Linked DNA regions of Arabidopsis thaliana. The protein of the gene in region 1 interacts with the protein of each later gene in a pairwise test. Each region holds a gene or a part of one and is shown in the gene's direction. Other genes may lie near its edges. The genes, in order: AT1G78930 and AT1G20910.

The links.
Region 2: the proteins of AT1G78930 (region 1) and AT1G20910 interact in a two-hybrid assay, tested with the Arabidopsis thaliana proteins (one large-scale study listed by BioGRID).

The regions. Positions count from the first base shown.
Region 1 is NC_003070.9:29,672,370-29,686,858, reverse strand, and holds AT1G78930 (Mitochondrial transcription termination factor family protein), read left to right. Parts: upstream 1-6,101; 5' UTR 6,102-6,210; coding exon 6,211-6,753; intron 6,754-6,844; coding exon 6,845-6,982; intron 6,983-7,075; coding exon 7,076-7,321; intron 7,322-7,418; coding exon 7,419-7,532; intron 7,533-7,659; coding exon 7,660-7,842; intron 7,843-7,934; coding exon 7,935-8,152; intron 8,153-8,240; coding exon 8,241-8,574; 3' UTR 8,575-8,955; downstream 8,956-14,489. Other genes in the region: BAS (Terpenoid cyclases family protein), read left to right, coding at 77-268, 337-450, 536-655, 746-868, 952-1,050, 1,135-1,191, 1,286-1,476, 1,562-1,739 and 3 more; AT1G78940 (kinase with adenine nucleotide alpha hydrolases-like domain-containing protein), read left to right, coding at 2,874-3,051, 3,146-3,240, 3,310-3,431, 3,518-3,729, 3,825-3,867, 3,957-4,269, 4,355-4,456, 4,531-4,938 and 2 more; AT1G78922 (uncharacterized protein), read left to right, coding at 9,044-9,141, 9,243-9,343, 9,441-9,910; VP2 (vacuolar H+-pyrophosphatase 2), read right to left, coding at 10,098-10,197, 10,284-10,503, 10,604-10,715, 10,801-10,956, 11,033-11,197, 11,278-11,715, 11,896-12,083, 12,576-12,696 and 6 more.
Region 2 is NC_003070.9:7,266,874-7,282,776, reverse strand, and holds AT1G20910 (ARID/BRIGHT DNA-binding domain-containing protein), read left to right. Parts: upstream 1-1,540; 5' UTR 1,541-1,798; intron 1,799-2,126; 5' UTR 2,127-2,141; coding exon 2,142-2,429; intron 2,430-2,562; coding exon 2,563-2,696; intron 2,697-2,781; coding exon 2,782-2,821; intron 2,822-3,190; coding exon 3,191-3,243; intron 3,244-3,339; coding exon 3,340-3,385; intron 3,386-3,643; coding exon 3,644-3,736; intron 3,737-4,178; coding exon 4,179-4,301; intron 4,302-4,456; coding exon 4,457-4,505; intron 4,506-4,582; coding exon 4,583-4,646; intron 4,647-4,816; coding exon 4,817-4,883; intron 4,884-4,994; coding exon 4,995-5,045; intron 5,046-5,287; coding exon 5,288-5,380; coding exon of another isoform or gene 5,381-5,458; exon of another isoform or gene 5,459-5,472; coding exon 5,473-5,568; 3' UTR 5,569-5,834; downstream 5,835-15,903. Other genes in the region: ESC (Putative AT-hook DNA-binding family protein), read right to left, coding at 8,818-9,753; AT1G20890 (caveolin-1 protein), read left to right, coding at 15,717-15,805, 15,902-15,903.

The DNA.
Region 1 (14,489 bases):
AGGATGTATCGACATTTCTCTTTATGATTTTCTTTCATGGAAAAGAACACGGATACATTCCTCTACTTTACCTTAGGAAGATACATATTATCCCCGTCCACTGGTTCAAGAGTTGGTATGGGACAGTCTTTACATCTTTGCGGAGCCTTTCCTTGCACGTTGGCCATTTAACAAGCTTCTTAGGGAAAAGGCTCTTCAATTGGCAATGAAACACATACACTATGAAGATGAAAATAGTCGTTATATCACCATTGGGTGTGTTGAAAAGGTAAAAACACCTTACCTTAAGACACAAAGTATTGAGCATCTGGAGTTAACTTCAGTCTCTTTCTGCAGGTACTATGCATGCTAGCTTGTTGGGTTGAAGACCCGAATGGGGATTATTTCAAGAAGCACCTCTCTAGAATCTCCGATTACTTGTGGATGGCTGAAGATGGGATGAAAATGCAGGTATGTCCATGGAGATTGGAAATCCAATTTGTTACGTTTACTAACCTTGAGTTGGTAAGAAATCGAATTTTTTTTGATTATGCAGAGCTTTGGAAGTCAACTATGGGATACAGGGTTTGCGATGCAAGCTTTACTTGCAAGCAATCTCTCCAGTGAAATCTCTGATGTACTCAGGAGAGGACATGAGTTCATAAAGAATTCACAGGTTCGATATCTCTGCAGCATATACTGTAGCACAAGGAACTATTTCTTTTGAAAAATGGAACATTAGCTTAAAATTGATAAACAATTGAAGGTTGGAGAGAACCCTTCAGGTGATTACAAAAGCATGTACCGTCATATTTCAAAAGGAGCATGGACTTTTTCTGACCGAGATCACGGATGGCAAGTTTCAGACTGCACAGCTCATGGCTTAAAGGTAACCAGCCGTTAAAACTAAACACATTGACATGTTCTTCAGTGGCATGAGTACTACATCCTTGCTGTTTTCTGGTCTCATAGTGCTGCCTGCTGTTCTCGATGTTGGCGCCGGATATTGTTGGCCCAAAACAAGACCCCGAGAGACTACATGATTCTGTTAATATCTTGCTCTCTTTACAGGTGAGCATTATCAGACATAGAATAGAACCAACATCATCAAAGAAACACCCATTTTCAGGTCGTGACAGTTTCACTTGTTTGCAGAGCAAAAACGGAGGTATGACTGCCTGGGAGCCTGCTGGTGCTCCCAAGTGGTTGGAAGTAAGAACCAAACCCCATAATTATTTTCAAACAACCAAAAGATACTTTTTAAAACATTTGCGGTCATGTAACCTTCTTCATGTATTTGTCTCAGTTGCTCAATCCCACAGAAATGTTTTCCGACATTGTGATTGAGCATGAGTACAGTGAATGTACATCGTCTGCAATCCAAGCATTGAGTCTTTTCAAGCAACTCTACCCTGATCACAGGACAACAGAGATCACCGCTTTCATCAAGAAAGCTGCGGAATACCTAGAAAACATGCAAACACGTGATGGTTCATGGTACACTAGCGATTACGATTTATCTGAAATTGTTCACGGAAATCCAAACTAACAAGAAATGAACCATTGTTCTTTGAATCTACAGGTATGGGAACTGGGGCATTTGCTTCACGTACGGTACATGGTTTGCTCTTGCAGGCTTAGCAGCTGCGGGTAAGACTTTTAACGACTGTGAGGCAATACGCAAAGGCGTTCAGTTTCTTCTTGCAGCTCAGAAAGACAACGGAGGCTGGGGAGAAAGCTACCTCTCTTGCTCCAAAAAGGTACACACTTGCACATTTTGATGAAATCAACTTGATGTAGGATCATTCAGTCACTACAATCCTCTTGATCTATGCAGATATACATAGCACAAGTAGGGGAGATATCAAACGTGGTGCAAACTGCTTGGGCTTTAATGGGTCTCATTCACTCTGGACAGGTTTTAATCATTCAATATTGATCGACGAAAATACAATTAATTAATGAATCAGTACTATATATGACCAGTGCTTTACACAACAGGCAGAGAGAGATCCGATTCCTCTTCACCGTGCTGCGAAACTTATCATCAATTCACAACTGGAGAGTGGAGATTTTCCTCAACAGGTACGTTTCCTACACCAAAATGGCTACTATCATCTTAAAACTTCCAAATTCTGTAATAGCTTTACTGATAGAAGTGGAAAAAACAAAGCTAAAAGCTAATTGTAGTTTGTTTAATTACTTTTTCAGCAAGCAACCGGAGTGTTTTTGAAGAATTGCACATTACACTACGCTGCATATAGAAACATTCATCCGTTGTGGGCACTCGCAGAATATCGCGCGCGAGTTTCGTTGCCATGACGACACTTTTCATAAACTTTTCTTTATATCAGAGAACATGTGAATTTATTAACCTATCATCAGTCTATTACAAGAATTCGTGTATGCGATATGTCAATGTTTTTAGTCAATGTTTTCTTTTTGTGTACCGTCCATTGGAAGGCATGTTTCACATGGTGAAGATACAGAGATGCGTGATCGTCTAAATTTAGACTAGGCCATTTGTTACACTTTTTTTTTTATGTTTCTTCCAATTTTTCAACATGTTGAACAAAAGAGTCAAAACCACACAAATGTGTTATTGTTTCTTTATCTTTTTTTTGTGTTATAGAATCTGAAATTAGATTATCAGCCAAAAATAAAACCCTTAAACAACAACCATTAGAAAAAGAGGAAATTCTCCAACCCATTAATCTTGCATCTCTACTTCATTTGCTTCCTCCATAAAGAATCTTTGATCAATCAAACTCTATTTTTTTTTTGTCAAATCAAAGTGAAGTTTTCTCTTTTGCATCATAAAGACTCAAGAGAGGGAAGAGATACTTTTCTTCCTTTTGTTCAATAATAATAATATATATATAGAGAAGAAGAGAATGTGGCTACCAAAAGCAAATGGGGCAAAGAAAGAAACAGGAAGTGGTTCAGTAGCAGTTGCAATAGACAAAGACAAAGGAAGCCAACATGCTCTTAAATGGACAATCGACAATCTTGCTTCTCGTGGCCAAACCATTTCTCTTATTCATGTCCTCTGCAGATCTCATTCTTCTTCAGGTCCCAATCTTCTTCTCACATTCATGGGAATTTCCAGCTTTTAGAGTTTCTTCTCGATAAAGTTTAAGTTCTTTTTTTGGTTTCGTTGTTGCAGATCTTGAAGAAGGAACGCCACAACAGAAACAGCAAATGGAGAAGATAGCTAAAGATCTCTTTGTATCCTTCCACTGCTATTGTTCCCGTAAAGAGGTATTCTCTGAATCAAAAACCCTTAAAGGTCCTTACTTTGAACAACCCTAATCGATTCTGTTTGAGCAGATAAATTGTCGAGACATTTTGCTGGAAGACGCAGACAAAGTTCGAGCCATTACCGAATATGTTTCATCTTCTGCAATTGAGAACTTAGTCGTTGGATCTGCATCACGTAATGGCTTCATGAGGTAATTAAAGTTACCTTCTTTCAGATTCTGTAACAAAAAGTTTGGATTTTTGTTCAAAGGATTCTGTTTTTGATGACTCTGAGCAGAAGATTCAAGACGGATTTGCCAACAACAGTGTCAAAATCAGCTCCAGATTTCTGCAATGTTTATGTCATTTCAAAAGGCAAAATTGCTTCAGTACGAAATGCATCACGTCCTGCTCCTTACCAAAATTCGATGCAGCAATGTGAAATTGACAATCATCACCCACATACTCCTGACAAAGCACCAAAGTACCATGACCATCCCAATTCTGCAGGTTTAGTTCATTCCTCTTTGAAAAGAATAAAATAAGTTCTTTGCTTTTCCAAAAGCTGATCCAATTTTGTGTGTTTCCATTGATTTTGCAAACAGGTAGTACACCATCTAGACCGCGCAAATCAGTTGAAGCAGATAGGTATAGGAATTGGAAGCTTGTTGTGATGTCTTTAAGGTTAATGTCTTACATAAAGTCTTAAAAGATTCAACATTTATGTTTTCTTGTAGATCGCCGTTGGTGAAAAGGAAGCCATATGGGGACTTCTATGATTCAGATAGTGACCTTTCGTTTATCAGTCCGTCTTCTCATCGTGACTCTGACATTTCCTTCATCAGCTCAGGAAGACCAAGCGTTGAGCGGTCTTCCTTTAGCCTTGATTTTCCTGAATCTGCAAGGACTTCAAGAATGTCAACGAGCTCAGAGCAAAGCATTGGCTCAAATCGTTTGGGAATTAAGTTCAGTGATCCTGATTTCCTTAACGAATCCTCTACATTCTCTGAAGAGAGTGGTAGAACATCCTCCTATTCATCTCAGAGCTTGGTTAGTACTATTATTACTCAAGCTCCTTCTCTTTTTCTTCTTATAAAGATTGAATACTTGCTAAGATGGGATTGTCTTGTTGCAGGATGATGTTGAAGCTGAAATGAAGAGGCTGCGTCTAGAGCTGAAACAAACCATGGATATGTATAGCACAGCTTGTAAAGAAGCTTTAAGCGCTAGACAACAGGTAGTACTTAATACTAACATCTAAGTCAATGAGATTAGTACATTTGAATCAAATATCGATTTTTGAACTTTTAGGCAACGGAGCTGCAAAAGCTGAGAACCGAAGAGGAGAGACGGTTGGAAGAAGCAAAAAGTTCAGAGGAAGCAGCAATGTCAATAGTGGAAAAGGAGAGAGCTAAAGCCAAAGCAGCGTTGGAAGCTGCTGAAGCTGCAAAGAGATTAGCAGAAGTGGAATCTAAAAGAAGGTTGACTGCAGAGATGAAGACAATGAAGGAATCAGATTCATTCTCTCGCGGATTTGTTCGGTATAGGAAATACACGGTTGACGAAATCGAAGAAGCTACTTCAAATTTTGCAGAGTCTCAAAAGGTAGGAGAAGGAGGCTATGGTCCTGTCTTTAGAGGCTTTCTTGATCACACAAGTGTTGCTGTTAAAGTTCTACGCCCAGACGCAGCTCAAGGGAGATCACAGTTTCAGAAAGAGGTAAAAAAAAAATCTTTCTTCGTTTCTGATTTTATACAAGAAAGTTTTCATCTTTGAGTAACATATGTTTATGTTTTCTCAGGTTGAAGTGTTAAGCTGCATAAGGCATCCAAACATGGTGCTTCTTCTTGGAGCTTGTCCAGAATTTGGGATTCTTGTTTATGAATACATGGCCAAAGGAAGTTTAGAAGACCGGCTTTTCATGCGAGGAAACACACCGCCGATTACCTGGCAGCTACGTTTCAGAATCGCTGCTGAGATCGCCACGGGACTCCTCTTCCTCCACCAGACCAAACCTGAACCAATTGTCCACAGAGACCTTAAACCAGGAAATGTTCTGCTCGATTACAACTATGTGAGCAAGATCAGTGATGTCGGGCTAGCGAGATTAGTCCCTGCAGTAGCGGAAAACGTTACACAGTACAGAGTCACTTCAGCTGCAGGAACTTTCTGTTACATTGATCCTGAGTACCAACAAACAGGAATGTTGGGTGTGAAGTCAGATGTTTATTCTCTTGGAATCATGCTTTTGCAGATCTTAACCGCAAAACAGCCAATGGGTTTGGCTTATTACGTTGAACAAGCGATCGAAGAAGGGACTCTTAAGGATATGCTTGATCCAGCAGTACCGGACTGGCCTATAGAAGAAGCTCTATCTTTAGCAAAGCTTTCGCTTCAATGCGCGGAACTAAGAAGAAAAGATAGACCTGACCTCGGGAAAGAGATATTGCCTGAGCTCAATCGGTTAAGAGAGATAGGTGAAGAGAGTTTAGAGAGTGTGTTTTATGCAGGAAATCAAGGAAAGTCTCCAAACACTAGCCAAGTCTCGATTCCGGAATCTCCAGCTGCAGAATCTCAATCCTAGTTTTGATATGAGGGAAGCAAATGTGCTCTAACACTCAATTTGCAGGAGTTATAAACAAAAGCAGAGCAAGTTTCTTTGCTGATTAGTGTATAGCATTAGAGGAATTTGGTATTCTGTTAAATAATCAGTTATGTAACCGCCTTTTTGTTAGGCCCATAACGGTTTTGAACAATCAATACTGTATTTATTAAAGAATCGATAATGTAAGAGCCCATATAAATAGGCCCAATGGCTCAGACCGGTTTGACCCAACCGGGATTTTGGTTTTATTAATTAATTTGGTTTTGAAAATCAAAATGGTTAAACCCATAGCTACAGATAAACCCTGCAACAGCTTCTTCTTCTTCCTCTTGATGTGGGCAGAAGCAAAGTAGCGACCTTTGTCTTCTTCTCCATCGTGTTTGTTTATGGAGCTTTTACATACGTCCTGCAATTTCGAAACCCTAACCTTGATTTCTCCTCCTTTAAAATCCTGTAACTTTAGTTCCAGCTCTCTCTTCTTCTCTCCTCGTCGCGTAACCTTGTTTCCAGCTTACCATAGTGGCCGCGTCACTGTTTCCGCCTCGTTACAGCACGGAGATTCGAATTTTAGCTCTAATTCTTCGCAGACAAATCAGGAAGCGCAGAATTCAATTGCTGGGTTTCTCCGACGAGACACTGGACTCTCAGAGGCCGATTCAGATTTCATTTCTTCAAATTGTCCTAAATACACGCGAATGATCGTAGAGGGTGTTAGGGATTTGGAGGAATGGAATTCGTGGAAAGGGAGTGGAGAATCTGAGAGAGTTGAGGAGGGTTTAGGGTTTAAGGAGAAAGTGATTTATATGGTGAAACAAAAGGGTGATGGTGGCAAAGTTGCCTTTTTGGAGAGTCTTGGTTTGAGTTTGTCTTCTGCTATGTATTTGGCTCATTACGTCTCCTCTGAATCGCTTCCGATACTTCTCGATAAGGTAATTCACAGATTGTTCAATTTCTCTGCATCATCAAAAGAGAGTTAGGTTGGGTTTGGATTTGGTACTTAATCTTGGATTTGGATTATAGGTTAAGTACCTCAAGGAAATATTCTTTTCTGGCAGTGATGAGAAAGGTCTGGTTGGAAAGTATGCAAGACGAATGATGCTCTACTTATCCATTCCTATCGATGAAGATGTGCAGCAAACTCTTTCCTTTTTCGAAAAGGTTTTTTGTGTTTCCTCAGTTATATTATAGTATCTGATTTTGTTTTTCATTCTCTATATTCTTTAGTAAGGAGAATGTTAAAATGTACTTTAGATTGAAGCAAGGCGTGGAGGCTTGGATATGCTGGGCTCTGTAGATGCATCATTTAGATTTTTACTCGAGTCATTCCCTCGGCTTCTTCTACTTTCAGAAGAAAATGATATGAAGCCTATGGTCGAGTTTCTTGAAAGCATTGGTATTCCGAAATATTGCTTGGGAAAGGTACTTCTTTTGTACCCTCCCATCATGCTCGGAAAAACTGAGGAGATCAAACGAAGGGTAGCCACAGCTATGGAGAAGGTATGGTTGGTTGGTTGTTCATAATTAGCATGGAGCTGCACTTTCTTTGTTTTCTCGTGATTGCTGATTATTGCAAATTGGGGTTGTATAAGTTCAGGTAAGTGTAGTGAACAAGGATTCTGGAAAATTGTTGCTGAAGTATCCGTGGATTCTCTCACCAAGCATACAAGAGAACTATTCTCACATCGGCTCATTTTTTTACAGTGAATCGGTAAGCACAATTTGACAAGACAGAATACATCACGTTGATCAGAAAATTGGTGGTTTTGTGTTTGCTAAGTTGTATTTATCATTTTTGTTCTATGATTGGTCTACCAACACCTGGTTTACTTTCTTAGGTGCTCAAAATGGATATTGACCACGCCATTAGGAGATGGCCTTTGCTTCTCGGTTGCTCAGCCAGCAATATGGAGATGATGGTGAAGGAATTTGATAAATTAGGTGTTAGAGATAAAAGAATGGGGAAGGTTATACCCAAGATGCCTCAGCTTTTGTTATGTAAACCCCAAGAATTTCTTAAGGTAAAGAAACCACTTTCCAAGATATGTATTCTCTCATTCTATTATTGTGCAAGACTATTTCTTTAACCACGCTATTCTTCATCTTGTAACAGGTTGTTTGCTTTTTGGAAGATTTGGGGTTTCAAAAAGAAATTGTAGGTCAAATACTGTGTCGATGTCCTGAAATATTTGGCTGCAGCATTGAGAAAACCCTGCAGAAAAAGCTCATCTTTCTCACTCGTTTTGGTGTTTCCACTACACATTTTCCCCGAATCATAAAGAAATACCCTGAATTTCTCATATACGACGCAGACAAAACAGTACTTCCACGGTATCTATCTTGACCCAAATAGCACATCATCTTAGTGAATCTATCTCTAGAAAATGACCCCTAATTTTGTAAACATATGCTCTTACAGGCTAAAGTACTTAATGGAGATTGGGATATCAGAGAGAGAGATTGCCTTCATGATTCGCAAATTCTCACCGATCTTAGGATATAGCATCGACAAAGTGTTGAGACCGAAGTTTGAATTTCTGGTGAACAGCATGGAGAAGCCGGTAAGAGAGGTAATAGAATACCCAAGGTACTTCAGTTACTCGCTAGAGAAAAGGATAAAACCGCGGTTTAGGGTACTCAAAGGGAGGAACATAGAATGTACATTACAGGAAATGTTAGGCAAAAACGATGAAGAGTTTGCTGCTGATTTCTTGGGTTTAGGAGAGCTTCAAACTCACAGTGAAATCTCGTAGTTATATTGTAGGTGAAAAAGTTTCTTAGAGAAAATCACACTATGTAATGAGATTGGTGATATCTCTGAAGCTTCTTCAGTTTTGTCTGTTTGCATTGTTCATATAACCGCTAGTGTATGTACTTCCAGTGTTTGTATACAAATTCCTAACTTCTTACCAAAAAAAAATCGGCTGATGTGTGTGTATAAGTGTATGAATTGTTTTCGAGGGTTTTCAAAATATTCCTACCATGTTTTTGGACCAAAAAAAACAAACGGTTTATTGAAAATTATGAAAAATATGCCGAATTTTCTCTCTGGAAACGGTTTCTCGCAATTTTTTTTCTTTCGTTTCTGAAACTGTACGCGAGGATGTAACTTCATTCATATTCTGAAAATTCACAGAAAATTTATTTATCTCTTTACGTTTGATAAACATGATTGTTGAGAAAATGATTGGAGCGAGTCACTGATTACCGTTCTAAGCAAAAATGGGAAACGCTATAGGCAAAGCATCAAACGACATCGGAGGTTTTATCGGGAATATTTTCACAGCACCGTTAAAAGCCACACTTGGAAGATCCTGTTTGTAAGATTTTCACGTCATTGTCTGAATTCTGTCGTGAAATCGCTTTGGTTTGTTTTTCTATCGCATGTTTTGAGGATTTCTCTTCTGTTTAAAAATTACAGAGATGTATGCTCGGGACCATGGGATCTTGAGTGTTTCATAGAACATTTCTGTCTTCCTGATATTGCAAAGCTTGTGCTGATGTCAAGCCTCTGTTTCATAAGTAAACCTTTCTCTTATTTCCGATTTTTAGCATTCACTATTGATTCTGTGAACTTTCCTTTGTTTTCTATAATTTTGTATTTGTTTCTTTTTCCCAGTTTTGATGTTCATCACCCTCCTGTTCAAGCTTGGAATTTGCCAATGTGTTGTGAAAAGTATCTGCAAAATGTCATGTGCCGCTTGTGCAGCGTACTGGTTCGACATTGGAGAGATGATTAGTTGCTTGTGTCACAGTTTGACTAACATAAATCGGGTCAACCGTCGCAGAAAACGTCTCGATGATATAGAAGCTACGACCTATGATTATCCGAGTGATGATGAATCAAGTTCATCGGACAGTCCCAGTCGAATAGATAACATTAGACCAAAGCAGAGAAGAAGAAGACTAGGAAGCAAACACAGCCACCACCATCATGGCAGCAATCGCAACAACCGCCGTCTCATAAGACTACCGAGTAGACAATTGTCTGTACGAGTTGGAGGCAAATCAAGAAGAGTAAGAAGAAGTACTAGAAAGATTAAATCGAGGAAAATAAAGACTCTCAAAGTCAAAGATGTGGTTGATTAAAATGTCTCTAGAATTCCTTAAAGAGTGTCTCTAAACTCAAAAACAGAATTATCTCATTTATTCAGATGAAATGAAACACAAAAACCATTAATCCATGTAAATCATTTTATAACCAACCTCTCTCCCTCTCTATTTGTATATGTGCAAGAGAGTAAATAAGCCGGGATGGATAAGTAACGGTTCACTTTCAGAGGAAAACCGGAGCCATGACGAGAGTTATAGTCGCAAGCATTTTTATGAGGACGTGAATGGATGGACCGGCTGTGTCCTTGAACGGATCTCCCACGCTACAATTTTCAGATGAATTCTAATGAGAAATCGTATTCAGGAATATAACTTTGAATGAGTGTTGAAGTAGAACGAAAATACTTACGTATCACCAGTCACAGCTGCTTTGTGAGCTTCACTTCCTTTGCCCCCAAGTGCCCCGGTCTCTATGTATTTCTTTGCATTGTCCCAAGCACCTCCCGCCGTGTTTAGGAAAAGTGCCATTAAGATACCACAAACTGTTGCAAACATGAGCATAGAAGCTACAACTTTTGCTCCGAGCAGAGGTTGTCCTGTGTAGTAACCCAAGATTCGAAACACCAAACCTGAAAGAGAGAACAAGAGGTTTGTTTTTGGTCACAATGTTGTGGTTTCAAACTTTCAATACAGTAAGTAAAGAAAAACGAGTAGATATTACTGACTTACCAACTACAATGGGTGATGCAATAGCTAAAGCTCCTGGCTTTATCATTTCTCTTAAAGCTGCAGATGCGACTATGGCGACACAGCGACTATAATCTGGCTTCTCCTTGTACTCCTGCAACAAGATATTTGCTAGTCAACAACGGTACAAGCCAATACACAAGAAAAGGTGAAGCACTCAAAAGGAAAAATATGCTCACCATTATGCCAGGCCTCTCAATAAATTGCCTTCTTACTTCGTTGACAACCTCTTGTGCAGTTCGACCAACTGCCGCGCATGCCCAAGCACTAAAGAGGAAAATAAGCATGGCACCCAATAATCCACCAACGAACACTTCTGGGATAGCAATATCAACCTGATTTTATCCGAGGATGAGTATGAGAAGTTGTCTCAACATCGAGAATACAGCAACGATGCATAACGAAATCTACCTCTTTGAAAGACACATTAGCAAACGCTGAAACCTCGTCCATATACGCACTAAAGAGAAGGAATGATGCAAGTGCAGCAGATCCAATGGCAAACCCTTTCGTTGTTGCTTTTGTGGTGTTCCCAACAGCATCAAGAAGATCAGTGATCTCACGGACACTCTCTGGCTGCACGAAACATTTATTATTTCTACATAGAATAAAGATGGAACATAAGAGCCTTTCAAGCCAATCATGTGACATCTTACCTGCTGGCTCATCTCGACAATCCCACCAGCGTTGTCAGCTATGGGGCCAAACATGTCCATAGTAAGGACATAAGCTGCAGTGCTTAGCATTCCCATTGTAGCAACGGCTGTTCCAAATAGACCTCCAGTGGGAATACCATTTTCGTCCACTAGACCCGAGGTATTGCCCAACCAATACGCAGAAATAATAGCTACACTTATAGTCAAAACTGGAAGAGCAGTTGATTCCAGGCCCAAGCTTACTCCAGCAATGATATTAGTCCCATGACCAGTCGAGCTAGCAAGAGCCAACGTCCGAACAGGCTCGTGCTTATAGTCTGTATAATATTTGGATATCCAGACAAAGATATAGGCTGTGATGATGCCAACCAACCCACATAGGGCGAAATTGAACCATGCAGATGGAGCTTGTTCAGTGTAAAGCAGCCAGCGAGTCGACTACAAACATAAATAATGCTGTCAGAAGAATATAGCAAAGAATTTGTTCGAAATTTCAGTAATAACAAGGCTAGTGTAGGCTAATGAAAAGTCTGAACCAAAAAGCCCATAAAAAGCAGAATTAATTGTAAAAAGAATGAAAGGAACAAGACAATCAATGGTTATGTGTGACAACATTACCGCGCCAAATGTTATAACAGCTAATATAATTGTCAGAGAATATCCTTTCTGAAGTACAGCCATTGGATCCTCTACCGGAGATTTCACACTAGCATCACGTGTTCCCTTGATTGATAGAATACCAATTGAGGATATAATCAAGTCAAAAGAATGAACAACTAGAGGAAAAAGGATAAAGCCTGATGGATCTGCATAATAGAGAAAGATTTGAGTAAGTATCAAGCATGAACAAGAGGTTTAATAGGATGTTTATCAGCGCATATCTAACAACCACTGCTAGAAATGGGTAATGTTATTGAAATTTTTTGACTGCAGCCAAGTGTAGCTTGCTGTCATGAAAAGTAGTCTTCCTTCAATTTTCACACAATGCATAGCAGGTTCGTACAAGGTGCTTCAAACAATAACTCTATACAACTTATGTCGACTTTTTAAATCCTAACAAGTAATAATGTACCCTCAAATCCTCAAGGAGTGACCAAAACATGCAATAAAGCGTAGATTATTCTGTATACAGAATGTAATTTACGAGCTTGAACTCTCTATGCAACTCTTCCTAAGTTTGCATTTCAGATTATAAAATCCTAGCAGTTCATTTAATTTTCTCGGTATGAGTCAGGAACTCACACCATAAGTTATATATTTGCATATACCAGAAGTAACTTTAAAGAGAGATGGTGCACCTTCAATTTTGCACTTCTTAGCCATTGTTCCACCTAGTATCATTGCACTGATGATTTCTGCAGCTATACTTTCAAATAAATCAGCACCTCTAGCAGCACAGTCCCCCACATTGTCTCCAACCTACAAGAAGATGAAAATGGCTTTAAATGCCTAAATGACGAAAACACAAGCAAACCCTTGTAGAGTGATATATGCCCCAAACAAGGATGTCACGTTTGGGAATCACAGAATCAAGAAAGTAAGAAACAAAAAGAACAAAGATCAAATACCAAATCAGCAATAACAGCAGGATTTCGAGGATCATCCTCGGGAATTCCCTGCTCAACTTTCCCAACGAGATCTGCCCCAACATCAGCTCCCTTAGTATATATTCCACCACCCAACTGAGCAAATAAGGCAACAAACGAAGCACCAAAACCATATCCGACAAGAAGAAGAGGTACTGTAAGAGAAACAGAAAATTCAATCAATAAATCTTACAAGTTTAATAGCTCCACTATCGCCCATGCAAATGCAAATTCTGGTCAATAAATCAAGAGAATTACATATAGGGTTCACTGAAAATCTTAGAACTGTATTGGTACCCCACCTCAATCAAGATTAATACAAGTCATGACATATTTAAGAAAATACTGCTCATGTCTGAAAATGATCCTTTGAAAAGATAACAATAACTTTTTGAAACTCAGTACAATGATTATAGAATATACACACAAGACGAAAATGAATATTTTTCATAAAAAAAAAAGAGCAGAAGACTTACGGTCAGTAACATTCATTGAGCCTGGTGAACCCACGCCCAACCACACATAAAATGTAGAATAGAGGATGGCGATACCAATCACAGCCATACCAACAACAACCAGGGCTGAAAACCCACCAGCACGAACGGCTATCTGCATTATATCTGCCACTTAGTATTTGGAAACGTGTACATGACATGTTACCAAAATAGCTAAACTAAAGAAGAACCTGCAATGCTTCTCTCGCAGATCGTCTGGCAGCACTGGAGACCCGCACATTAGCACGAACTGACACCCACATTCCAACATATCCAGCAATACCTGAGCATAGAGCCCCCAAAAGAAATGCAGCAACAGTAATATAAGCAGACATCGCCCTGCAGCAAAATAGTAATATGGCTAAGCTTCATTCACAACAATTCAAAAGATAAAATAAATCTTGTGAATGTAATCATGTATCAGCACCTTCCTAAACCAGCAGCCTCTTGCTGGGGAGTTAAGCTACGGAATAGATATATGCAAAGAATCACAAAAGCTAGCAAAATGGCCATCTTGGATATAGTGCTATACTGCGTTCTGAAAAAACCTTCAGCTCCATCACGTATAGCATCTGATATCTATAAGTAAGAGAATTACCTCACAAATTAGAATTACAAATTTTTGATGAGAACAAAGAAGGAAAAATGTCAACATCATGACTAACACCACATAATCTGAGTGAGCTTACCTCAACCATCTCTGGAGGTCCTTCATCTTTCGCTAAAACCCACTTGGTTAGATATATTGACAAAAGGAAGCTGATGATGCATACTGTGAAGACGAACACGATGATGGGAGAAGTACTTGCCCCCATGTAAAAGATTGCTCCGAAGCAGAAAAGCAGAATTATCGAAAGGACACGGACATTTAATTTCCTAATAATCCGGAATATCTGCCAAAAAACAACTAAACTTTATACAATTTCAAAGAAAATGAAAACGAGATGCTCAAGAAACTAAGATGCTAAACGAAATAGAAGGAAACTAGTTATAATACGCATCTCAGTGATCTGATGCAAGCAAAAAGAAAAGCACTCAAGAAAGAGAGGAATAAAAGTTGTACCAGTGGACTATAGGTTTTACTACGCATGTTGGGAAAAGCCCTAGGCCTGTCATTGAAAGACATCAAACT
Region 2 (15,903 bases), about 22 Mb from region 1:
CTTGACCATTGTCCAATTTTTTTAAGCGATATAGAACATTCTAAAATCGTAATTATTATCCACCCAAACCCGTCCTACCATATAATCCAGTCCCGTGAAATTAAACATAATTTTGTCATTTTCTTATAAATTTCAATATTATAAAATTTGAAACTTAAAAAAATACAATATCGACCCAATTTTTAAGATTTTTCCTGTAATATATCATCTCGTATTAATATATTTTTTCTATATTTGTAATGTTTAAATTTCTTGTAAAATTCAATTTATAATTTTTAAAACTTTATAAGTTTTAAAATTATAAATATTTAAAGCATTTTTTAAAGATAAACTTTATAAAAAGTTTTTAAAATTATAATATTTAACATTTGATAAAGTTATAATATTTATAATTTTTTGAAACATTTTAAAGTTTTAATTCTTTAAAATAAAAAATCCGAGTAAAATCGGATAACTATTTTAATTTTGGACGCCTGATAAATCAAGCTTCATGCTCATTCATAATCAGAATCATTTTGGTCCTTTTATAATATGGGTCTGAACCATTGTCCAATTTTTCTAAGCGATGTTGGACATTGTACACATATTATTTCTTCATAGGTTGAATAATATATGTCCGTTTTAAAAAATTTGAATTACATCATATTCAGAAAAAAATATAATATTTTATTAACTATATATATTTTATATAAATTCAAAATAAATAAAGTATAAGATCAAATAAAATTGAAAGAAGAATTATATATTTATGTTTAAATTAGGTAGAAATATTTTAGGAAATTAGTTAAGGTAAATAAGAAATATGGTTAGTTTAGAGATATTGTTTATATTAAATTTGGTAATTAAATCATTAATTTTCGTTTTTAATTATTAGTTTTTAGGTAACTTTTCCAAAAACTAATGTTATCCAAGATCAGAACTGAATTAAACATGTTATCCAGGATCTGAACAGAGTTAAGCCGAGTAAAACCCACCCATTTGAATTAATTGTTGAATTATGGCTCAAATCTTCAACATTATCTTCAAAAATCCCCTCCAAACATGTATATATAGATATTTCCATTATGATATAGTTTTCACATCTTAACTCCAAATCATGAAACCTAAATTTTATTTCCAAGTCTCAACATCATATATTTTAATTATCATCTTGAACTTCTTGTTAAAAATATAAAATTAATTCATAAACTTTTCTATAAACCTAAGTTTTTTAATATTTTTTGTATCGTATTTATACTAATTTCGATCTTCTTTGTTTCCTCCGTAATCGTTGTCGTAATTTCGTAAACCTAAATTTCATATAGCTCCTTTCTTCTATGTATATATGTTTTGTACAATGTTTCATATATATAATAACACCCTTTGGCAAAAAAAAAAAAAAAACTTTTTCAATGTTTATCTTTCGTGGTTATTACATATAGTAGAAATCCCAACATTCAACAACAATAAAAGGTTACAAATCCTATATTTACCAAAAATTAAGAAAGTCTAAAAAGACTAATAGATACAAAAAGAAGAAAAGAAATTGTTTACTTTTTGAGTGTAAAACAAATTAAAGTTAAAAACCACATAACATCCCCCATCCCATCTTTTTTACTAATACCTTCCTCCATTAACATAAGATTGTCTCTCCTCTTTCGAATTGTCTCTCCTTTTTCAGCTCTCTCTCTGTATCTCCTTCTTCTTCTTCTTCCTCCAGCTTCTTTCAATTTCTCCGGCTGCTAAACCCTAGCGCGCCGTCGGAGTCCCTGCGTTCTCATACCAACCTTTACTCGCCGTCGCCGTCGCTGCAGAACTGGTAAGCATATGTTTTTTTTTGCTGCTCTCTGTATTCTATGGAAGCTGAAAGGTCTTCTCGGCTTGTTTATCTGTGGTAGTTTTGATTAGGATGAGGTTTTGTAGTAATAGAGTGAGTGAGTTTGCTCCAATTCTTAATTGCGTTTAGAGATAGAAGAGAGAGAGAGAGAGAAGCTATAGTTTCCAGGCGGAGAAGAAAGACAATTCCTTTTTGTTTAATCTGGAATCACCAATAGTTAGTTATATACAGTTTTTTTATCTTCTTCGTTTTTTTCTTCTGGATTTGTTCTTTTGTCCTTGTCTTGCTGTGACTGACTACTCCACAACAGAAATCGAAGCTTAAGATGGTGGATACCGAAATGCAAGAGCAAGATGTGACTTTTGGTGCCCTTGTTGAGACAAAGTATTTAGAGGAAGAACCTTTGGAGCCAGAAAATGATCACAACCCTAGTGAAATCCCGCAGCCCCTTCTTCTTGGAGATGGTCAGGCTAATAATGGTCATGGCATGAATGGTGGTGCTGTTGGAGTTGTTGACCACTCTGAAAGGAAGACTCGTAGGGTGCAAATGTTGAGTCCTAAGACTGAAGGTGAGAATGCCAAAAAGAGGAAGACTTGGCTGCTGGATTCTGAGGTACTAGGCTATGTTTCTTTCAATTTGGCTCAAAAAGCCTGTGTCTTTTTGTTTTCTCAGGATTGGATTTCACTGTTTTGTGGTCGAAAATTATGTGGTGATTGTTCACTTACTGGTTCACCTTTCTCTACAGGCACAGGGAACTGATGAAGCAGGGACACCGGTAGAACAAGTGGCGTTTCTAAGAGAAGTGGAGGCCTTTTACAAAGAGAGTTTCCTGGAATTTAAACCTCCTAAGTTTTATGGACAGCCTTTAAACATTCTCAAGTGAGTTGTTGGAAAAGTGGTGCTTTTGTTCTTAATAAACCCATATATCTGGTTAATCAGTGCCTCACTTTTGCATCCAATGTAGGCTTTGGCGAGCAGTCGTGAACCTAGGTGGCTATGAAGTGGTAATTATCCAAAACCATATCGTTTTTAGTTCGTCAGTTTATAAGTCTTGGTTATTTAAGTTGGCCCGTATGATTATCACCTACATTTTATTGTTTGAATTGTGGATGGCATATGAACTGTATATAGGGTATAACTATTGAATCCGTAAGCTAATTTATGATAAGAGTATCTATAACGATGTGGCTTTCAGAGAAGATTTATGACTTTAAGCGAACATATCAAACATTAAAGAATGTTCGATATTTTCTTGGGAAACTGATTTATTTTACTGTTGTTAGCTATATTTGGAATTATATATTCAATGTTTTCTTAATCTTCTGCTGGACTTATGGTCTTTAAGATTCCTTTGTTTTTTCATGGTAATGTAGGTCACCACAAATAAGCTGTGGCGGCAAGTTGGAGAATCCTTCAATCCTCCCAAGTATGGCTGATATTTTCCTTAGACTCTCCGTTAGTCTTTACCAATTTTTCATAATGCTAATCTTTTTCCACATTTGGTTAAACTATCTTTATTCAGGACATGCACAACAGTCTCCTACACATTCCGCAATTTCTATGAGAAGGTGAGTTTGTTTTTGTGCATAAGTATCGTATATTTATCCTGTCTTCATTTTTACTTATCCACTTCAGACAATTCTCCTTGTGCTTCTTCTTAGTATGGTGTGTTATAATAGTTAGTTTAATTCTTTGTCTTGCTGAGGTAGCTCTTTATTTTGGACTATTCTTTTGTCACTTCGAAGTTTGAATGCACTGCTTGTTTTCTTTCTATCTTATCATATAGATACAGGTACATATGATCTATATCTTTGCTTCAATTGCAGGCACTTTTGGAGTACGAAAAGTGTTTAAGGAATAATGGTGAGCTTAACCTTCCTGGTTCAACATTGATTCTGTCTTCCAGTGTCGAGAAAGAGGTATGAATTTCCCCTAAAAAAATGGCTTTTGGATTTTAGACACTACTGAATAATATATAGAAATAATGGTAGATATGGAAAGTTTGGATGAAGATCGATCTAGCACCGTAAAATTAATGAAGAGTATCTACTTGTCAATTTATTGTGGGAAGGTTTCATGTACTGTGATTAAATGTCGTTGATACTGAAGAAATGATAGCATAAGAGTTATTTTTCAGCATTTATGTAATACCAGCTAAACCTTTTAAACCCAACTATCTGCAATCTGACTGAAGAAAGCTGTAGCCATTTTGTGTTCGATACAAAAGCCATAAGAAATCCGTGTGCATAACCCAGTAAATTACCATATAAGTTGCAGAAAACCTAAACGAAAATTCATGTGCCTCCCTTTTTTTCCCTTCTCCATATTTTTTTCTTCCCTGATACAAGGACTTTGCTGTAGCCAAGTAGCCATCAAGGTTCAGGGTCAGGCAGGGCACGAAGAGATTCTGCAGCTCGTGCTATGCAAGGTTGGCATGCGCAGCGCCTTGTTGGATCTGGAGAGGTTACTGCGCCTGCTGTTAAGGTTTCACTTCAAATCTTACTGCACTTTGTGATTCCATTATGCAGAATTTTTTCATGCACCAAGGAATCTGACTCACATGTAGAAAGAAGAAGACTTTTTATTTCTTTTGTCGTTTTTTATTTCGGAAGTAAAATGATGTTCTCCTTTTGTTTCAGGATAAGGGCTTAATTTCCACCCCAAAGCACAAGAAACTCAAAAGCATTGGTACAAAATAGTTCTCAAGGCTTTGCTATTTTGTCAACGAGGGTTGCTTAACGTTATGTTTTAAACGGTTTTTTCAGGGCTGCAAAAACACAAACAACAAACTAGCATGGACCATGTTGTTACAAATGAAGCTGACAAACAGTTACGGAAAGCTGATCTCTCCTTCTTATTTGCAATTCTAAGATAGTTATATTAGTTTTTTGGTTCTTCTTTCAATGCCTCTTAGCAGTAATGAGATGAAAACGTAGCATTTTCTGGACCTGAACATATTACTATAGATTAACGTTAAGGTTTCCTTTTTGTCATGATAGGTTGGCTGCTGAGGTTGTTGATGTTGGACCCGTTGCTGACTGGGTGAAGATAAATGTCAAAGAATCTGTGAGTAACTTCTGCCAACGGCTAAAGAAACGCCAAAAACTTGCAAACTGGATGTTTGTTTCCAATATGGAATTCTTACCAAATCTGTTTTCCTTTTTCTTGAATTCACAGAAGGATTCCTTCGAGATATTTGCCTTGGTACCTGGACTTCTTCGCAAAGAGGTGAGCACTCCTTTGTAACCCTGTCTCTGAAGGCTACTTGATAAGTCCTTGTCTTTTAATTTTGTTTGAATGCATATTACTGTGACAATACAAAGCAAGCACAAAGCGATTTGGTAGGTTACCAAAGCAGATCCGTTGGCTTTAGTTTCATAGTCTCAGTACACAGTGTTGTAGGCAATAAGTATTTTCTGGTAAAATCAGTACATAGTTCCAATTACTGAACATACGTTGTCTTTTCTCAGGTTCGAATTCAATCAGATCCTGCGGGAAAGGTGGTTATAACAGGCCAGCCAGAGCAGCTTGACAATCCTTGGGGGATTACACCCTTCAAAAAGGTAAAACTTTCTTCTATATTCCAGATATGTCCATTAACTGAACTGATACAGAGACTGAGAACCTTCCTGTCATTTTGATATGTTTTCACCAGATTGTTGACTTATCAGCAAGAATTGATCCGCTTCACACATCCGCGGTCATGAGCATGCATGGACGGTTGTTCATACGAGTTCCGTTTGAGCAGTAATGGATTTCAAGAGAGCTGGTCAGTTGTTCGTGGTTTCTTCTAGGAATTCATATGTTTCAGAACCAAATTGTTAGGCGGCTGAAGCAGTTTTGTAACTGTGATTTGAATCTGAAGACTGAAGTTAGGAACATGCAACAAACATTTGATCTTACTGTAATATTTCTCTTTTGTATAATTTGAGATTAGTAGGAGAAACTGCTCCAAAGACATTTAGGATGCAACCAACAATGATGATTTTGATCTAAAATCGGAATGTTATGCTTTTCTTATACATATTTTTTTAATAGAGATGAATAGATTTGCCTATCCCATCTACTAGTTCTACTTCCAATAGTATACTTTTAGGTTCTCATGCGTTTCGGTTTTCAAAAGTTCTCCTGAGATGATTTGTTTTCAAAAAGTGAAAGTGAAAGTATGCATATATTGGTGGTGCATATTATTAAAGGGAAAACGAAAACAGCAAAAAACTTATTGACATTTCCCTGAATCTAAAAAGTTCATGATCGGGAATATATGATTTAGAAAAGAAAAAAAGGTTCATTACTTGTTTATATATATATATATATATGTATCATCAATTCATGACGAAAATTTAAGGTTCAAAAGTTTTGAAGCTCACTCTAGTTTTTGAGTCATCAGAAAATACTGCAGTATTAAGACAAGAAACATTATTCTCAACTTGTTTTCTTTCTCTTTAATCATGCAAAAAGGTTCACACTTCACAGTGATCAAAAAAGGTTTTTTATTGCTGATTCTCAACTTGGTGTAGCTCAATTGCATGTAAGGCACATGACATGACCGCATGGGAATTTGATAATATTTACAACTACAATGCTCTTTCTCCAAGCCCCCAAAAAAAAGTCATATGATTCCAAGTATATGTATTGATTCTAATTTATATTTTATATATTTTGGCAAAGCTAAAACGTTTTTTACTAAGAGACATCTGATCACTATAATATTTAGCTAAGAACTGTAGATTGTGACTTGTGAAATTAATCTGCAATTTGTTCCATGATATCAGTTGTAAAAAAAAAACAAATCATCCTAAAATAGTTAGAACTAATTCAATCAATAATAATCATACATCTAAGTTATAACATATTCATCAAAATTTTAGTAGCTTTACAACCCCAACTATGTATTGCCATATGCCCATATTGCACCTATAGCTGAATAGGCGTAACAAAGCTACCTGAAAGTAGTTAACTATAATTCGTTTTAGTATGTTGGTATCATTTAAATAACTTTAAAACTTTCTCATGAAAAATAAAAAAATATTACTACTTGCTTAAGCTTCCTTTTGTTCCTAGTCAATAAATATGTCCCTAGGGAATTGGAACATTCCTCTTTTTCACATATCTTGGTAATCAAAACCCCATTTTTTGTTATGTTGTGACAGAGACTAGCTCTTAACTGACACTACAAATGATTTATGTTCATTGTTAATCTTACCATGTTAAGTTCACTAATTTGTATGTAACCGACGTACGTGAGATAATCTCTACTTCATGTTTCTACTGTGCTCTGTAACGGTTGTCTTTAACCAATATACATTGACTAAAATCCCAAAAAACAATACTATGCTCTAAAAATGGTTAAAGATTAGATGAATAAATGGAAAATAATAAAGATGTAGTATGAGATATGAAATAAATAAAAGTAATCCCCTCGTTATATATTTTGCATAATAGCAGAAGCATATTCTTCTATGAATGAATTTGTTTACTTTTCAGTGGGATGTTAGATAATGATTCCATTCTATTTAACGAATATGATTAGTTTTAGCAGAATATAGAATTTCACTCTTTATCTCTCTAGTTAGACAAGTATCCCCAATATCATTTACTCGTTCTTTTTATCAATATATATATATATATATATAAAAACTCATATTTTGTAGTGACGAAGAAACACGAAAATAGTAATATATAAACCGGTATAAAACCATATTCCATATATATATTTAAATTGTTGGGACAGAAATATATATAGATTGAGAAAGAGCAGAATATGTATTTGAAGTGTTGGTTGAGAGTTGAGACAAATTCTCCATACCAGCCAAAATTAAGGGGTTGGAAATCTCAAACCAAAAACTACGATTATAACATAAATGGTACTGTGCATATGTGACCTATAAATATTAGCTTAAAGCTACGTACTTGTTGCCAACCTGTCTTTGAATAATGTTGGATACAACTATTTTACAGGATCGACGGTTAATTAACTGAAGCATTAATGCATATTTTATGCATGTAATTAAGTAACTGTAGTGATCGAATGAAAAAGGTCATAACATGGCCACTAGGTATACATGTAGTATTTTTAAAACACTAGAAACTGTATGAACGCTAAATAGTTTAAAAATTGCCCATGTTGTTTTCCTAGATGGTAAGACTCGAGATCGCTTAGACGGCCCTGTCGTAATTAAATAGCCAATTACACCAATCAATGGAATTTTCAACTGTAAGTACAAACGGCTAAAAAGACGTTCTAATCAGGCAAGTGGTTAACTACAAAATTTAGAACGATGCACGTTTTGATCAATATGTAAGCATATTCTTAACACCTTATATATAGATGGGTATATATGACAGTACTCTTAACACAATAACACCGTATAGATAGATAGATATGACACAGAAGTTGTGATCTTAAAAGGTATACTCGGCTAAAAGACGCTACAAGTACTCAAATGGTACGAATAATGAATTTAGATGCACAAAACGTATATATTGATCAATATGTATAATAATTTTCTAACCTTATAATGAATACTACATTGAGGTTGTTAAAAAGTTGAAAGAACTATATTATACTATGATTAAGGTAACGTATTGACGTATTGTAAAAATATTCAAATGAGCGCCTGAGATGTGCCCACATAATATTTCATCAAGAATACGCCGTGAAGCTCAAAATTCTTAAAAGAACAAACGAACTCATTATTGAATAGTCTAGACCTATATATCTATCAAATCGAGCTAATTATAATAATAGTTATAGGGTACAACACGAAACCCTAGCTATGAATAAAAGAAAGCCATATATGGAAAGGAATTTTCTAACATAACGAGACACATGCATTTCTCTAACATGTAACATCTACCGAAGATATGAGAAGAAAAGAAATAAACACGAGAAACCAAAATATGCATATCAACTAAACATTAAACACCAAATATCCCAAAGGAAAGACGACTCCACAAGATGATAAAAACACATAAATTTCCGGACATTAAAATTCAATTAAAAAGGTGGTCTTGAAGGTGTTCCAGCTCCCCATCCAAGCAAATGAGGATCACCAGAAAACCCATAACCACCCACATTACCTCCTAACTGTCCCTGACCGGTCACTCCAGACGGCGGAGATGCTGATGGAGCTTGTTGCATCTGCGGTGGCCCTCCTCCTCCTCCTCCTCCGCCACCACCACCTTCTTCTTCCTCCTCCTCAATCGGTAGTCTCTCGAAAACCGCATTTGAGAACGAAGCCGCCATTAGTATAACCGGAGCTGATGCAATAAGGGGAGCCACAACGCTTCCTCCGACCACCTGACCTTGCCCTCCGGCTAAAAATATAGACAAACCACCGGCACCAGGCGGTGCAGGAGGTGGCAAAACAGTCCCCGTTAGCGAAAGAATCTCAAACCTTCCATGTAAAGTCACAACTCCTCCTCCTCCGGACACACCACCGCCATTTCCAGGAGTGACTGGCTGACGGAGAGTGACGTTAGATACGGTGCCGTTTCCTCCTAAAACGGAGACGCCTCTCCCTCTCCTCCTAGCGTACGTGGAAACACTCTCAACTATGTCAGCTCCAGGAGATACTTCAAGAACGTGAGATCTAAGCGCGTTGGGGCTATCACGAGTTACTATGATCGGTGGCTTGGCTTTGTTCTTAGATCCTGGTGGACGTCCACGTGGACGTTTTCCCGGTGCTGAGCTTGATGTATTCGGGTCTGAATCGGGTCGACCCTGTTGATGATGATCTTTGTTTGAATGGTCAGATTCTCTTGAATCATCCGACGGTTGTTGTTGTTGTTGATGTTGCTGGTGCTGATGATGATGCTGGTCGATAAGATTGATCCCGCCCTGCGGTTGAAGCTGTTGGTGGTGAATCTCCGGTCTAAAGAGGTTATGGAAGTATCTAGAAGCTCCACCGCCTTGCTCGTAACCGCCTTCCATCGCCGCCGCATCTACTAATTCCCTATCCCACCACTGCTTATTCGCCAGCTCAAATCAATTTCTCGATTCTTGATCCTGCTCGTTCATATATTGGTAGCTAGGTGAAGAAGAGCGTAAAGAGAGAAAAAGAAAACTCAGATCGAGAAGTCAAAACTCATGATTTTGAGGAAACAATAGCTAAAGCATTAAGGTGTGATCGGTTACGCAAGCCGACAAAATATAGAAACAGACCAAGAACAGAACTAAATTAAAGACGAAGCAAAAGATATAAAAAAGGTGACTTATGTTAAATGATCTCTCTCATGAAAGGTAAGAGGAAACCCTAGTTAGGTAGATTAATTAGGGCAAGAGAAAGAAGTAGCTTCTTCTTTGCATAGGAGTCGTATTTAGCGATTCTGATGTGCTATGGGAAAAAAAGGAGAGAGAAGCTTGAGATTCATGTGCGACTCTGCAATAAATTTTTGGTCCTCTCATTGAACGAGGAAAGTAAAAGCAAAGACATACACCGAGAATTTAGCGGAGAAACAGTCCCCTTTATTATATCATTAATATAATAATTATTATTTGAATAATATGTTCTTTTTTAAGTAAATTAATACTATTTATTACATATACACAAATGCCGACAAAAAAATTTATGTGTGTAAGTGGTTATCCTTACATAAGATCTACCAAAGAAAACTAGGGGTTCGTCGCAGTTTTTGTTTGGCTCCAATCGGATAATACAAAAGAAATTTAGAGAAGGAATTCTTATATTTGAAAGCATGAGATAAGATTAACAGAAGAGATAACATTTGGTCAATTTGTTTATCAGATACTATTATATACGAGCTAAAGAAAACGTATCATTTAACAAAAAAAAAAAAAAAAAAAAAATGTCAAGTGGAAGTTGGGTACACAAGGATTAAAACGAATCCTACATTCCCTTTAAGGCGCGTGGAGGTTATGTTTAAACAAAAGTTATTTGATAAATGTTATTATCATGTTACTAACTTATTTATGGTTTTAGTAACTTAATTAAAAGGTTTTCGTATAAGTAAAAATGAGAAATAGTACTATTTAGTCTTCTCTTACTTGAGAAAATACTACTATAGGTCATTTTATTTAGAATTTTAATTTACTTACGCATCTTTTTATTGTAAAACTTAGTATAAACTTGCATTATTACTAGATATTTGTAGGCTTGTGATTTGCATAGTGCTGCTGATATATGTTATTATTCATATTCAAACTGGATGCAGAACGTGAGTTATATAGAAGAAGAAAAGAAAAAAAATTTACATGTATAGTATTATTATTAGTTTTGTCAACTAATTTTGTAAAAATATAATGTATAATAATTTAAAATAGATATATAGTATATGGCTTGCGAATACAATATTCTAAGAAGAACCCACGTTCTATAATAAACAAACGGATACGAACCATCTTTACTATAGAAAAAGAAGAAGAGAATTAGTCACTTTTAAGCGCTGCAGAACAACAATTGATTAATTCTGCTTGTGATGTGTTTTTTTTTTTTTTTGGTTGCTACTAAATTATCTTGCTAAACCCGAGCTAATTATATATCAAAGAATCAATGTTCTACTAAAGTACTTTATATTCACTTTTATTGTCAAGAGGGCATAAGGCGCATAACGTAGAACAATCAATCTAGGTAATGGTCCTTTGTTCTATACTGAGATAGTGAGATCTACCCATGTATACTCCTTTAAATATCGTAAAACGGAGTGGACCCTTTTTGATGATAAGTTTGGAGAAAGTTAATGATCCATTAATGTGATAAGACTAGCTGATAATTATCAAAATGTCAAATTAGTTGATACTACTACTTTATATTTTCAAAAATTATTGATAAGTACTCCACTTTGTTGCCTTATGTCGAATTTGGTGAATCACTAATTAGAACTACGCTTTTTCTAACATGGACAAAAAAATATACCAGAAAAAGACAACTAGACACTGATAATTTATTGATTTAGAATGAGTAATGTATTAGTAAAATTTTTTTTTGATATATCATCTTCATACAAATGATATCAAACTTTTAATTTACAAAAATTGTTTGGGAAACAAACGATAATCCTGAAAACACTTACCAATTGCATCAACCCATTCAAATAATTATTGACTTATTCATCTTAATTTATTGAACTGACTAAACTCGATCCGACCCATTAATGCATGACCTCATATCGGACCGTGACTGGTTGTCTTAATTTTTAACTGCACCCATATAGTAACACCTAAGCTCCCTCAACGTGGACGCATGTGGCCTGAACCATGGTGGGACCAATCTCAGTAGGAAAGTAGGAAGTGGATCGGAACCGTCCATCCTCATGGCATGTGGGACCCAGGAACCGTCGTTTTCATCGGCGTAACCTGGCGAGTCAGGGCTCGGTGCAATGTACTTGAACCGGACACGTTAGCTTGGTCCGCACGTGCACAGACAAAAGTCACGTGCGGTCAAAAGGTCAGAGCATGAAAGTGAAAGCCAAGCTGTGTGACCACGTGGAGGCGGTCGGATCATCGGTACTTGGTCAATACCTTATCCAATCACAGTACTCCTCCCGAATCTATCTAACTTACTTTCGCGTCTTTTGCCCGTATTTCTAATGCTTAAAAGCAAAAACGTACGTGAAGTCTTTTGTGTGCGGTATTTTAATCATAAACTGGTCCAATTTTTTTCTATCGATCGAAAACGGAATGTGTGGAACTATCAAGATACTTCGAAAATAAGTGAGATATGTTTTATTTGCCCCCAAAACAGAAAAGTGAGAGGTGTTTCATGTGATATATAATTTAATTTTAAGCCATAAAGAGAGAGAACTACACGTCATCCAAGTCTATAAATATGTGACTGTACCTAAGTTCTTATGACGCTGTCGCTACTCGTCTAGATCATGAACACATTTCTCTCACATTAATTAAAGATTATATATGTATTAATGAATTCAGACGTCCAGTTACTGTCGCGTGGAATTCAATGTTAGAGAACTCATTAGAGAAAACTAAGTTAAGTTCTTGGTATCCATAAGAGTTTATATATTTACCAAACATGGAATAAAAGCAGTTCTAAATTGTTCCGACAAACACGTAAACTGATCAAAACATATATATATTTTTTTTTTTTCCCAACGACCAAAATATCTCGTAAGGATGCAGTAGATATGTGAGGTTCGGAGGCACTAAAGAATATCAATTTGGTTTCGGTTCATAATTGATCCCTTGATGATCTTGTAGCTGTTATTGTTCTTCTTTTTATTGTGGCTAGCTATTGCTTCTTCAGCCTACGCCCCTACTCCATATATGTATCTCCCCAGTCTGCTCTCATGCGATCACGAAAGGGTATCTCTTTTAGGGAAATCCAACAACTGGTGAATAAAATGCTGGCTCTTTATATCTAGAAAAAAAAACATCAAACAAAAAGTAAAGGTCGTGAGACTAAATATCATACCCTCTTTAACAATAAATAATATGGGCAAAAAATTGTGATGATTTAGGGATACCGTACCCATCAATCAGTATGCTAATTTAACTTCTATATTTATGTTCTTTTGTTTTTTTTGCTTTCTTTTCTCATCAATCAAAATACCACGAGCCAGATGTATATAAGATATTAATGCCATCCTTAAAGTTTATACTTACATAGCGATTCTATTCTCTACAGCACCTTTAAATTTTGTTTTTATAGTTTTGAAAGTGTAAGCAATGAGTTCGCTGTATATAAAATGAAAAAAAAAATCTAGCTAGTCTTGAACTCTCAGTTCTCATTAATTTTATGTACGTTAGTTAAAAAGTATTGATTTATCAATTCGTGGCTTTTTTTAAACCAAGTAAAGAACATGTATTATAACGAGTTTCTAACTCAGCTAAGTTTGATTATATTTTCTCCAAAAACTCGAACATCAATCGGGTGAAGACTTTCCCCCTTCTATCAGGAATTCAGAATTTAATTTACTAAATATCATACTTTGGAAATATTATTCATTGATAGTTCATAGTTGATAATGAATATATGGATGCATAAAATCCTTAGATAAGAAAACAATCAACAAGTCTAATCGAGCTCTTTATATCAAATTATCAATCAAATCATACTTTTTAGTTTGTCGCACGGAATCTAACATGCCCCGCATGTTAGCTTTGTACAAGAAGAAATACGTAACGATGAGTTGCACATTATTAGAGTAAATTAAATTGCTTTAGTTAAAATATTTGGCAATGATCTTCTGATAAAGTGGATAGATGAAAACGCCCCTGATATTCTTTTCTATTTTTTCTATATTAAATCTTAAAATTGTGCCTCATTTGTTTTGGTAAAAAATAAATAAATTATTTTTATATCTTAAAAAAAACGATTTGATTCCATTGACCTACAGTATTGCGTATTGTATGTCGTATGATAATAAATCTACATTACTCGAAAAATAAATATGAGAATCTAAGTACCATGATATGATTAATGGTTTGTGATAACATTATCACTATGTTATCATTTGGATTCAAACCTAAATAAAATACGTGAACCTAACTAAGTATTCATCAATCTATTTATCTAACAATATAATGGACTGTAAATTTGTTCTACAGATCAATAATTACATGGTCATATCCTTAATCATAGCGTTTTGTGGCCATCTCTTCTATTTCTCTATATATTATTAAGCTATATATGAAGGTATAGTATATATATTTATAAATAACTCTTACGACTTTGACTTGACATTTGATTCTACATAGACAACTCTAATAGTATGAATTGAAACCAGTATTTTATTGCTCCTATCAACCTGGAGACCTTGGTTTCCCAAATATACCTATGTTACTATAAAAATAATATGTGTATAATAATATTTTTTACCTACGTAATGATGCTCACAAGTCACAAGTTTTTACAGGAACTAGTAAAAATCAATTTATTATCAGTGGTCTCCAGACTCTCCACTATATTTTTTTTTATAAACAAACTCAAAAGTAGTGTGATCAATCAGAAATTACGGGTCAACTTTTTCGATAATGCCCAATCCCATTCTCACATCTTTGGCGACTTGTGATCTACCACCACCCCATCCACCAATTTTTAAATTATTTTATAATAATAAAAAGCCGGAGAATAAAACAAAACCAAGTGTCTTTTCAAAACTAAATGCCTATTTATTGTTTTTTTCTAGTCAATTTGTGGAGAAAACCTATCAAACTAAAAGGTGTTAGAAAATATTGTTGGATTAAATATTATAATTTGTATATAGTAAACATTAAAAGGTGATTTTATTGACGTATAATAATCTAAAAACCAAAAATAAAGGTGATATATTGAATAGAATTTAACTATTTAGTAGGAAGGAAGCAACATGGGCAAATTGCCAATTTGGTTTATAAAGGAGCCCACATGTTTACCTTACTATTTTGGACTTTCTGAGTTAGTGTCGAAGGCCTTTGGGCCCATAAATGGACCCCACAAAAAGACAGGACAAAATATCCTTAGAACTCGCCACGTAGATATCTCGACGTGGAGATCTGACCACGTGTACAGTTTATGTCCTGATTTTCGCAAGAGTGACGTGGACGGGTCATGATCCGCTTATATTTTCACTTTGTCTACAAGCCAAGTATATTAAATTGGGCCTCAAATTAGCCCAATCAATATATCAGTACATTATTAATCAAAGGCCCAAGTCTCACGCTAGCGATCGTCGACAACGATTTTGAGTCTTTCTCCGAAGTCGCCGGAATCGTATTCGCCGATCCAATTGTCGCATAGAAACTGTCATCTCCGGCGAGAGACTGATCTCTGGTAAGTCAATTCGATTTCGCGCGTTTTATAACTTCTGGTATTTTCGTATTCCGTTGCTGAGAGAAAATATTGCAGAGATTGCTTAACATGAAGCTGATACTTTAACCGATTCATCAAATTGACAAAAATCGTTTTCTTCTTTAGGGATTGATACAGAACTCGTAGGATGATCGATTTACGCTATAAAGAATGCTACTTGCTCATCTGTCTTATCGTCTTCATAAATTTTGTGACTTGTTATAGCGATGAGAGACTGTAAGTGTTGTTGAAAAACCTCACATTATCCCCAAACTCATCAATTTGGATTCTTTTATTGGTACTGTAGAAATGATGTTATCAGGTTTCTCTTAGGT